Schizosaccharomyces pombe: one gene and its partners. The protein of the gene in region 2 interacts with the protein of the main gene of each other region in a biochemical or structural test. Each region holds a gene or a part of one and is shown on either strand. Other genes may lie near its edges.

Region 1 (3,835 bases), 2.3 Mb from region 2:
CATAAAACTGTTTAAAGGTCGCTTAACAGAACTTTTTTGGTCCTTTTGCTCGGCTGTTAAAGAAGCAGACATTGTGTAGAGAAGAGTAAATATAAAAATTGTAGTAAAAGTAAGGGAGAAAATAAAACAAATGAAACGGTTCTTAGAATTAATTAGAAAGATGATTCAGTAAGAACAAAGCAAACATAAATGAAGTTCGCAGTCAGAAAGAACGAAGTAGAAAAGAAGCGAACAGCACAAACCGAGGGAGAGGGGATGAGATCAGAAAACAGTAAAGAAATAAACACCGAATAAAAACTGGTGTGAAGGATTTTTTTCTATTTAAAAAAAGAAAAATGGTATTAAGATAGAAAGAAATCTCAAACTAACAAGAATGAAAAATGAACAAATTATTCACAGTGAAGTAACAGATGAATATAGTAAAAGTAAAATTCCCTTGTATGTATCAACAAATAAATGAAAATAAAATTTCCGTCAATCTAGATATTAAACAAGCTTGTTCGCCAAAGAAATCAAGTTCAAGCTTAATGAATAGAGACTGACTGGACTAAAAAAAAGAAAAAAGTGACAAAAGTATATTTGATGCCAGGTTTTTCCTAAACGAAAAAAGTAAGGTAATGAAATAATAAATGAAACTAATGGAATTTCCAGCTCAAGAAGAAAAAAACAGAAGCAACACTCAAAGCCGATTTGAAAAATGTAAAGAAGCGTAGAAAAAAAAAGATGAAAGTTGAGACTGAAAAGTTACTAGATCGAGTTGGAATGATGAAGGATATTTTTCGTAAAGGCGATTGAATCAAGGATAACTTGAAAGAGACAATTAGTAGAGGTCCAAGTGGAAGAAGGAGTGAAAGTGATATATAATAGAAGGCCACAAGAAAAAAATTGAAGCTTTAAAAGTGATTTTCTTATAAGCCTAATTTTAAGTTGAGGAGATTTGAAAACGAGAACAAAATCACGAGCCTCTAAGGCTTTTTTTTCTCTATATAAAACGGAGGAAAAACTAAAAACAAGAAAGAGCGGAATAGTTAACAGGAAAAACAGACGAAACGGAAGACTAAATAACGGAAAAGTGAGTCAAATAAAAAGGCGTAACAAGGGAGAAATTTCAGAGACACCGATAACTGAAGAATGGTTGAGCTCTGTAAGATGGTGAAACTTTGGGTATACAAATAAAGTGAGGAATACCAATGAATACGTGAATAATGCGACAATGACAGGGGAGAAATAATGTTATAACATGAGCCAACAAAGACCGATGGTGAATGCAACTTAATTCTGAATGGTGTGTACTAATGGAATCACAAAAGAAACACGTTAAAAAAAGGATATTAAAATAAAATGAGGAATGAAAATCTAATAGATCAGATATCAAGGATAAGCAGCCAAGCGATAGAATAACGATGCGAATAAAAAAAATTTAAAGTTGGGCAAAAATTGCAACAAAGAAACAACTTAGTTAATTAGTAGAGAGAAAGTTGATAAAGGATAACTATGGTGGTAGAGACAAAGAAATATATAAAAAAATTTTGACGTAGAAAAAAAATAAAAAAAAGGGGGGGATTCGACGTACAGTAAGGGAATCGACGTAAAAATTAAAAAAAAAGATAAAATCCTTTTGATTTCAAGAAACGAAAAAATTATTCCAACACTTCTCAATTAACAATTCCAACAGAGGAGGATCCCAAAAGAACGTAGAGGCAAGAAAAACGAGAAAAGTTTGAAGAGAGAAGCGAAGCCAATTGGACCAACAAAATGAAGAAACAGAATAGAAGAAGAAAAAAAAGTTTAAGTCTGTTTACTATAAAGAAAAGAAGAGATGTGAATAAAAATTAATCAACAAATTAAACTTAGAAATAGTCAGTGAAAATAAGTCAAAGTAAAGTCAAAACAAAGAAAAGAATAGAGCTAAGCCAAAGCAAACCAAGATAAAGGAATAGACTTAACACGAATAGACAGGAAAGAATGGGAGGAGGCAAGCTAATTCAAAGACGACAAGCTGCAATCAAGACAAAGACCAGAAAAGTTAAGTTAAGTTGAGTAAAAAAAAAAAAGAAAACAAAGAGAAAACAAAAAAACGAGGCAAAAGCTCTCAAAGAAAAATAAAATGCAAACTAATCAAATGAAATACTTTCTTTTAGCATTCACAATCAGGTTTAAGATTGAAAAGTCAGAATGCTAATAATGCTTTGTTTATTTGATAATAAAGAAAATCCAATATACGACGCGAAACAATTCAACGCTGGATATCCTTTTAATATATGCTAAATGAATAGATTCTCACTATGTAAGTCACCAGGTATGTATGTATATATATATATATATACATACGCATTGGCAACCAACTAGTAAGAGTATAGAGCGAGGCGTAATACGCGATGTTACTGACAATGAAAATCAAACAAAGAAATTCAACTTTTTTAAGTCTAGCCAAAATGTGTATGAGGGGAAGGGACAAAATTCACAGGGGTTAAAGTAACATATGATGCGAAAGCATTTGTCACTTTTACTTGCCTACAAACGATGTAACACAGCAAACAAAGTCAGGGATTCCCCCCTGTACAAAAGATTAGTGTGGCACTTGGCAAAAAGTCTCGCAAAGCTACTTTTCGTTGAGGGAGATAGCGCAAGGCAAAATGACAAGAAGCCAACGACTAGTCTTCCAATGAATGAGGAATTGTAGAACGCTGGGGAAGTTGGAGAGTTAAGGAGGGGTGGAGAAAGCAAAATAGAGTAAGCGGGCATTTGAAGAGCGGCAATTTGCGAAACCGCAGGGTATTATAGGTAAGGTTTAAGCAAATGTTAAAAGAATAAAAAAGCATAGCGAATGTGTGAAAACAAGTGCCGGCAGTTTGAGTAGTAAGCAAGTGATGAGGAAGTAGTTTGGGGTGAACGGAACGGGAGTGAAATAAGAATGGCGAAGACTTGGAGTCATGATGAAAAATACAGGTACTACGAGCGGAAGGAAAGAAACCACACACATACAATGATTCTATCGAGTCATTGCCATTGGAATTTTGCTACAATTTACCGAAAATTAGGCGTGGGTGCTTGTGTTTCCCTTCCATCATCCCTGGAGATGGCATGCACCACAAATAATCTATCGCTACAGTGATAGACATGTAAGATGGAGAACAAGAATGTCGGAAAGGTAAGTGCTGTGGTAGTACAGGGTGATTTGCATAAGAATGACATTTTTTTAGCAAGATCATAAAATGGGAAACGCGATGGAAGAGACTATGTGAGACACAATGTATGCTGTAAAAGTATAATCTTATTATATTAAAAAAAGAACGACGAATAAATTGAGAAAGGTGAAAATTTCAAAAAAAAAATAAATGGAATGGAAAAAAGAAATAAAACCATTGAAAACGATAAAAGTCCAAAGACTAGACATTATTTTAGAGAAGGAAATGAATGCTACTTGAATTTGTGCAAAGTAGCTTTGACTTATGCAATGTAATAGAAAATAGGAATTGCCGCCAGATTAGCGTATGTGTGCGTACAACTTGAGATATGCGCTAATTTCCATTGCATATCACCCAATCGCACTATTAACCTGGGCTTTTGTAAGAATTGAGCGAGCGACCAGCAAAACAAGGTTGAGCTTAAAAGGTGGATGACCCGCCGAGTCAGAAAATGGCGGCCGGCAAGATGCAGAGAGGAAGGAGACGATAGGAAGGAGAGATGGGAGAAAGTAGAGGTAAAGATGAAGATGAAGATGTAGATTAGTTATAGATGAAGACGAGTTTTGAATGAAAAAGGTTACTACTGAACGATAACGAATTTAATTTGAAAACGAATATAATTTTTTGAAAACGACTATACTTTGAAA
Region 2 (3,600 bases):
AATTTCGATTTCAGCTTTCATATCCCCTGGTCATTAACGCGATTACTCTTACTCAGGTTGTTCGGCTGTCTACTGTGTTAAAGCAATAAAGAAAACACTACTTTTATCTGATTAGAAATCGAACCAAAATTAAAAAATTTATCTTTTATTCATTCTACACAAGTTTGGATTGTATTCTTATTTTTTTTATTTTATTTTTTTTTTAATTAAAAACTTCGAAATTCTATAAACAAACGTTGAATTGTCGAATTTGGATTTTATTTTTTCTTTAACCACCATTTTTTATTCTTACTAATATCCTCCCTTCCACCATCCTCGTTTTCTTTTACATTTGTTTTCCCTTCTTCCTCTTGGATTCTTATCATCTCCCGTGTCTAAAAGTTTCCATCTTACTCGTTTTTCTAACAAAGAAATCACTATTTCTCATCGCGACGAGCATTAGTCATATTTGAGTCGCGTTTCCTTTTCCTCTTTTTTAATTTATTATTTTTTTTTTGTTTTATTTATTTATTCTTTTTCACTTTCGTCTTTGGTTCTTGTTCGCGTCTGCTTTTCCTTTCTTTGTTCTTTCCCCTAGCCTCTTCGATTAGAGATAGATACTTCTTTCCATATCCAAACTTACTACTTCTCTGCTTTTCCCCAATGTAAATGGGAATTACCCTGAACGATTTCTTGTAAATTCCTTTGTGCTTGATGAAAATACTTTTCAAGAATTCTCTTCTCTCGGCTTTTCTTAATTACTCGATTTTTTCATTTTACATTCACAAATCCATATTGCTGTGCATACTTATTGACATTAGGTGAACTCATCTCTTTTTTCCCCAGTCCAACTCTTCCACCTAAGTCTATTGACTTACTCGCAAGCGTTGATTGTCGATTGTGTTTCCTTCTCATCCCCTCTCTTCTTTTTAAACCGAACATTCTATTCTCATTTTTACCTCAATTTGGAAAGGATATACTACTAGGTAAAAATTAATTCTACTTTTCTCCCCCATCTTTAACCGACTACTGACCTGTACATTTTCCCGATTTCTCTTACTGTTCCTTTGGAAAATCGTTGTGTGTCTTGTTTGTACGTTGATCTTTAGAGTTTCCTTTGATTATCTTGAGCATTCTTACTTTTTATTCCCTGCTTAAAATACTAATCATCATTTTTCCCGGTTTTTTATTCACATTCCCTTCTCACTTCCATTCGTTGTACTCAAAAGGACCTGTGCTTTTTAATCATAAACATTATATATTATTCGTTTTAACTCTTCCTTCCACAATTGCATTTCCCCTTTTCTTTATTAATTTTGTTTCTTGCATGTTGGTCGTTTTCTCTGTGATTGGCGTATTCGATTCTCTTTTTCATTCTTCGTTGTCGTATTTTTTACCTGCTTACAATTGAAAAAAAAATTTTTTTCTTGTAAATTCCCTTATATTATTAAACCTCAAACGATCAAGATAAAACCTATCATTGTGTTATTGACTATTTTCCTGTTTATAACGATCTTTGTTTTTTTTATCATTGATTTTAGAAGACATTAGAAAATCTAACCTTTCTCAAAGTTTTTTTTTTGTTTCGGTTGCAAAGTTCTTTAAGCTATTCAAAACTTTATCATCCGAAATACTTATTTTCTATTTTCTTATCTAATTTTCGCCATCAATTGGGACTTTATTTAATTTATCTTTACTAAACATTAGATGATGCGCGAAAATCCAGAACTCCTTTTGGGTCAGGTCTTGGGTGATTCTTTACGATTTGTTTCTATCATCGGTGCCGGTGCTTATGGTGTCGTGTACAAAGCAGAAGACATTTACGACGGTACCTTGTATGCAGTAAAGGCTTTATGTAAGGATGGCTTAAATGAAAAGCAGAAGAAGTTACAAGCTCGCGAACTTGCCTTACATGCTCGTGTTTCTTCACATCCTTATATTATTACATTGCACCGCGTGTTAGAAACGGAAGACGCCATTTATGTCGTTCTCCAGTATTGTCCGAATGGCGACCTTTTTACTTACATCACGGAGAAAAAGGTATATCAAGGGAATAGTCATTTAATTAAAACCGTTTTTTTACAGCTTATTTCTGCTGTTGAACATTGTCACTCAGTTGGCATATATCATCGAGATCTTAAACCCGAAAACATTATGGTTGGAAATGATGTAAACACCGTATACTTAGCTGATTTTGGTCTGGCTACTACAGAACCCTATTCAAGTGACTTTGGATGTGGTAGTCTGTTTTACATGTCTCCAGAATGTCAACGGGAGGTGAAAAAACTTAGTTCGCTGTCAGATATGCTACCGGTAACTCCTGAACCTATAGAATCACAATCATCCAGCTTTGCTACAGCGCCAAATGACGTCTGGGCTCTGGGAATTATATTAATTAATCTGTGTTGTAAGAGGAACCCTTGGAAGCGTGCATGTTCTCAAACTGATGGTACTTACCGTTCCTACGTTCACAATCCATCAACCCTTTTATCCATTTTACCCATCAGTAGAGAGCTCAATTCTCTACTCAATCGAATTTTTGATAGGAATCCCAAAACCCGAATCACATTACCCGAACTTTCCACGCTAGTATCAAACTGTAAGAACCTTACACGACGTTTACGACCTGCTCCCCTTGTTTCATCTCGTTATCTCGCATACCAACAACAACAACAACAGCAACAAATGAATTTGCAACAAGGAATTCAAGGTTACCCTCATCAAGGCTATATGCCGACTCAAAACATTGGCTTTCCCTGGCCTCCGACTCCCCAGTTTGTAAGTAATTGGAATCATTGTGCTACTCCAACGATCCCTGTCTCCTTACAAGTCCTTACACCAAATTCTTCACTTAAAGTAGATCCGACTACACCTCTTACAGCACCTATTCATGCAACCGAATCATTCTGGCCTTCTGCCGCAGCGGCGGCAGCAGCTGTCCATAACAATGCTAACTCATATATGCCTATTACACCCACACCCTATCCGAATAATGCAAAAATTTTCGGTTATCCTAATCAACCTCCGCTGACTCCCATACCTTTTACTGGATTCGTTTTGCATCCTGCACCAGTTGGTCGTGCTGCTGATGCCGTAGATCCATCTCGAAAATCGCTCTAAAGTTACTTGCTTCTTTTTTATATTCGCTACCGCACGTTGTTTTGTTCAGGGTTACTGCAAAACATTATAGAGGGCTTTGACTGCCCCAATAATTATTTCTCGGGATTTGAATTTTAACATTGTGTAAATAGCTAACATTTTATGCACTTGTTTTATACTTATATTTCTTCTTTTTTATATGTTTATTATGATGGTAGCATTATCTTTTTCTGTTAACAACATTGATGAATTTTTTTTGCTTGTGGTTTGTTCTTTAAAACAAAAATTTTTTTATAAATATATACTTAAAAAAAAAAAAAAGAAAAGGTAGACGAATGGATCGTTTTAACGACGGTTGTAATAGTAAATTTAAAGAGTTTAGAGCATGAAGCATGCAGTCATATTGTATCACCGCTATACTCGAAATGTTGAAGAGATAAAGCAAACTAAGCTTTTGGAATACGAAGATAGAAGGATATTATTCATAACTTGTAATAATATTGTTAAAAGTTAAAATATTAA
Region 3 (3,835 bases), on a different chromosome or scaffold from region 2:
CTTTAAGAACAAGATTCCTCTTAGGTTTCTGTTCTTTCCTCAAATTCTCAATTGACATTTGTTGGTGATATAAACAACCATAGAGATAGAAGCGGTTTCTCAGGCCTTCATTTTTTTTAAACCTCAAAATTTAACTTTTGAACAATTCGTCACGTACATCAAACATCATAAACGTTTACGAAACGCATTGTCCCAAAAATAGTAAACTGGCTAAGCAATAAAACAAAAAATACACATATGTTTCTTATAAGACCTTTAATAAGAAAGCCAAAAAATATTTACTCAGCAAAGCTTTAATCTAACCATTGTTCACTGACTCTCGCTTTACTGAAGCAACATCGCTAATGATCATTTTACGTTTAAAAAAAAATAGAGTGTATACGAAAGCAAAACAAAACAAACAAAACAGAACAAAACAAAAATAATGTAAACCCAAAGTATAATCAAAAACCATCATCAGCCTTAAAATCTCTTATACATGCATACAAATCTTTTGGAATAGAATAAATATATCGCTTTTACTCTTTTTTTGTTCTGAATTCCCAACCTCTTTTTAATTGCCAAAAGTTATTAATGCTTCCTTCTTACTTGTCTTCGAGCACTTCTACAACCGTGGTACACACATATTTACCGATTTATACGTGATACATTAAAATCGAATGCGGCGTTTACTAATGTTTATAAACAAAAACGTGAGGTTGTCTACATTTACCTTCTCCACTTTTGCGCATAAAGCATTGTTTTCAAATCACTCAATAAATGCGATCTAGTTTGATCGTTGGCTAATTGGATTTCAGTGGGGAATTTTAATTGCCGAACAGCTTTATAGTTTATGTGAAAAGAAAAGAAAGTGAGCAAGTTGCTAATATTAAATGATGTAGTTATCTTTCATGCCAGAGAACAATCTGGATGTCAAACGACCTCTGTGTAAAACGCGCAAATATAGGAGACGCATGCGCTGAATAAGGGTTGAAAGAAGAAACACTGTTAAAAGAGGGTTTTGCATTGGCGAAAAAAGATGTATGGAAAAAAGCACGCGTAAATAACAAAAGAAATCCTTACCGAATTATACAGCAAGGTGGAGATTACTACACTAATGAAGGCAAATAAAAAATGTGATTTCTTTGACTTGTCCATGTTTTTCGGGATGGATACAACGTTGTTTTTTATCTATCATCTTTTTCAAACTTTCAAAAGGACTAACTTACCTTTACAAGCTATACACTAATTACCACTGATTTGAATAAATAGCCTTTTGCTTCAGTAGACAAAGCAAACACCATAAAAGAAAATGCATTTAGCGTTTCTCGCTATTTACTCTATCTAACGCGAGTCGCGTTGGCTTTCAATCTGTCCAAATTGGATCAGTTGTCCCGCTTTTTATGGGATTTTTTTTCCATTATCGTCCTCTTATATTAGAGCTTACTGACATCGCATCATAACTTTAGATAGAGTAACGAAAGCCGACCGATTTCTTTGTTCCTATTTTAAAGTTTCTTTGTTTTACAAACCCTTCTCGAGCTAGCCCCTCAGGGGCATTGCAAAAACGTTCACAGTAAATGCCTAACAGTAAAGGCTACTGAAATTTTCATCGTAGGTCTATAAATTTCGTTGATTCCCTTTGTTTTCAACGCTTTGTTTTCGCCACTGAAAGCTGCTGTTGAGATTCTTTGTTTACTTGGCTTACTTCGTTTCTTTGTTACTCTTCCCACTTTGTGTTACACGGGACAAAGGCAGGGGTAGCATAAACAGTACGTCCCATTCAATCAAGCATTCTCCCAGTAATTGTCGTAATATTTGCGAGCAAATAAAGTCCTTTTTGACTTTGTGATTTCTTTGAAATAACTTCTTTGTTCTCTAATTACTGTATCTCATTATAAAGCATCCAAGCCCTCTCATTATTCCCAACATACAATCCATCCTTCCTCCAGCAATCCGGCCGGACAGATTGTTGTAATTATCTTTACAGAACTATTTTGGGCTGGCTTTTTGATTTGTACTGAAAAGCATCGCATTGCATTGCATCGTTTTTGTTTTGTTTCGCTGCTGCCATTTAGGCTGTCGTATATTTTGTTTGTCTGAAACTTAACGTTCCTTTGTAATAGAGAAAGCAAAAAATATATACCCCATTTTAAAAAAGGAAAGGGAAATTGCTTTTTTTTTTTTTTTTTTTTTTTTTACACCTCTAGTTAGTTGAAAAACCATATGGAAAAAACTTAAGTTTTTATACATCGTGCATTTACTTCTTTTCCATTACTCCATCCTTGCCAATTGTTTCTCTTACCGTTCGCATTTTCCATCTTAATAGGACACACAGCTGCCATCATCCGCGCCAATAAACCTATCGACCGTAACAAAACATTGATACGTTTATTTATCTAATTCATTTCTTTCCTTCTTAAAATCCCCACCCGCATCTTTGTTACCTTTGAACGCAGTTGCTACTTCTCTTTTCTTTGTTTGTTTGTTTATTAATTACTTGTGCCCACTCCGAGACCAACCATCGCTTTCCCATTCCTTGTTGAAAATAGCCCATAGTAGGCATTCGCAAAGAAAGTTCAAATTATATCTTTTACCACATTATCTACATTTTCTGGCTGTATTCTTGAATCCTCATTTTGATCTTTACCAATTTTTCTTGAATCGTTATTGTCATTCCCTGATATCTTTTTCTCTTCTTTGTCCTAGAATCGATTCCTTTCTTCCCCTTTTTTCGTGTGCTTCACTTTTTAATTCCTTTTTTTGCAACCTAACTGATACGTATATATACATTTATATATATACGATTCCAATCCATTTTCTCTTCATATACGCATATACATTTTTTCTTGTATATATGTGTAAAGTTTCTAATCGATTATTTTAAATTTTTACTTGCGCTTTTCTTCTGTGGTGACAATATCCCATCTTTTTCTTTTTTTTTTAAAAAAATTAAAGGGTAGTTTCCTAGTTTTATCCCGAAAATTTCTCCTCCTCTAACGTTTGTTATTCTTTTGTTAATTTTATGAAAGACAAGTTTGTTTGTTCAAATCTTGGTTGTTATTCTTTTCGTTTGATTATATACATTTGAACGACAATTGTGATTTATTGTTGATTTTTTCTTTTCATTTCATTATTCTTTTGTTCTTTTGCATTTTCTCATCGTTTGTTTGATTTACTAACAACCATCTAACCCCTTCCTTTCTTTTCAACTTTCTGGTCTTTTAAAGTTTGTATTAACTTAATCCTTTGCAGTTCCTTTCTCTCCCTTTCTTACCACTTCTAAACAAAGTTTTATAAGTTATTAGTCATTAAGTAATTTTTTTTACTCTTTATCTATTTTAAGGATTATCGGCCAGCTTTATTGTTGCCGTTTTAACACATAAATGATTATGGAAACCGAATCACCTTTATCAATCACCTCCCCTTCTCCATCTGATTCAACTTTTCAAGTTGATATGGAGAAAACAATGCATGCTTTGCCCTCAAGTCTTCTTGACTCACCATTACTCTCTACTAACGAGCATTACCCTCCCAAGAGTACTTTACTTTTGAGTGGTCCTTCACCCATCAGAAATATTCAACTATCTGCTACCAAATCTAGTGAATCAAACTCAATTGATTATCTTACGGATACTCAAAATATCTTCCCCAACTTTGTTAATAACGAAAACAACTATCAGTTTTCAACCGCTCCTTTAAATCCTATTGATGCTTGTCGAGTTGGTGAACGGAAAGTATTCACTACAGGTAATGTTTTATTGTCAGCTGATCGACAACCTCTTAGTACATGGCAACAAAACATTTCTGTTCTCTCAGAATCCCCTCCGCAAAATGGCATTCAAAGTTACATTTC

The links.
Region 1: of the proteins of pat1 (region 2) and ste11, one has a biochemical effect on the other in vitro, tested with the Schizosaccharomyces pombe proteins (one study listed by BioGRID).
Region 3: of the proteins of pat1 (region 2) and mei2, one has a biochemical effect on the other in vitro, tested with the Schizosaccharomyces pombe proteins (one study listed by BioGRID).

Annotation. Positions count from the first base shown.
Region 1 is NC_003423.3:3,981,823-3,985,657, reverse strand, and holds the start of ste11 (DNA-binding transcription factor Ste11), read right to left. Parts: upstream 2,283-3,835; 5' UTR 73-2,282; coding exon 1-72. UniProt on the Schizosaccharomyces pombe protein: Key transcription factor for sexual development. Activates the transcription of the matp, matm, mei2, mfm, ste6 and rgs1 genes. Binds specifically to a DNA fragment carrying a 10-base motif 5'-TTCTTTGTTY-3'.
Region 2 is NC_003423.3:1,681,175-1,684,774, forward strand, and holds pat1 (serine/threonine protein kinase Ran1/Pat1), read left to right. Parts: upstream 1-1,686; coding exon 1,687-3,099; 3' UTR 3,100-3,381; downstream 3,382-3,600. UniProt on the Schizosaccharomyces pombe protein: This protein is a negative regulator of both sexual conjugation and meiosis. It phosphorylates mei2. It blocks the onset of meiosis until conjugation takes place.
Region 3 is NC_003424.3:4,512,823-4,516,657, reverse strand, and holds the start of mei2 (RNA-binding protein Mei2), read left to right. Parts: upstream 1-1,632; 5' UTR 1,633-3,365; coding exon 3,366-3,835. UniProt on the Schizosaccharomyces pombe protein: Crucial for commitment to meiosis but it is not sufficient itself for the commitment. May be a splicing regulator.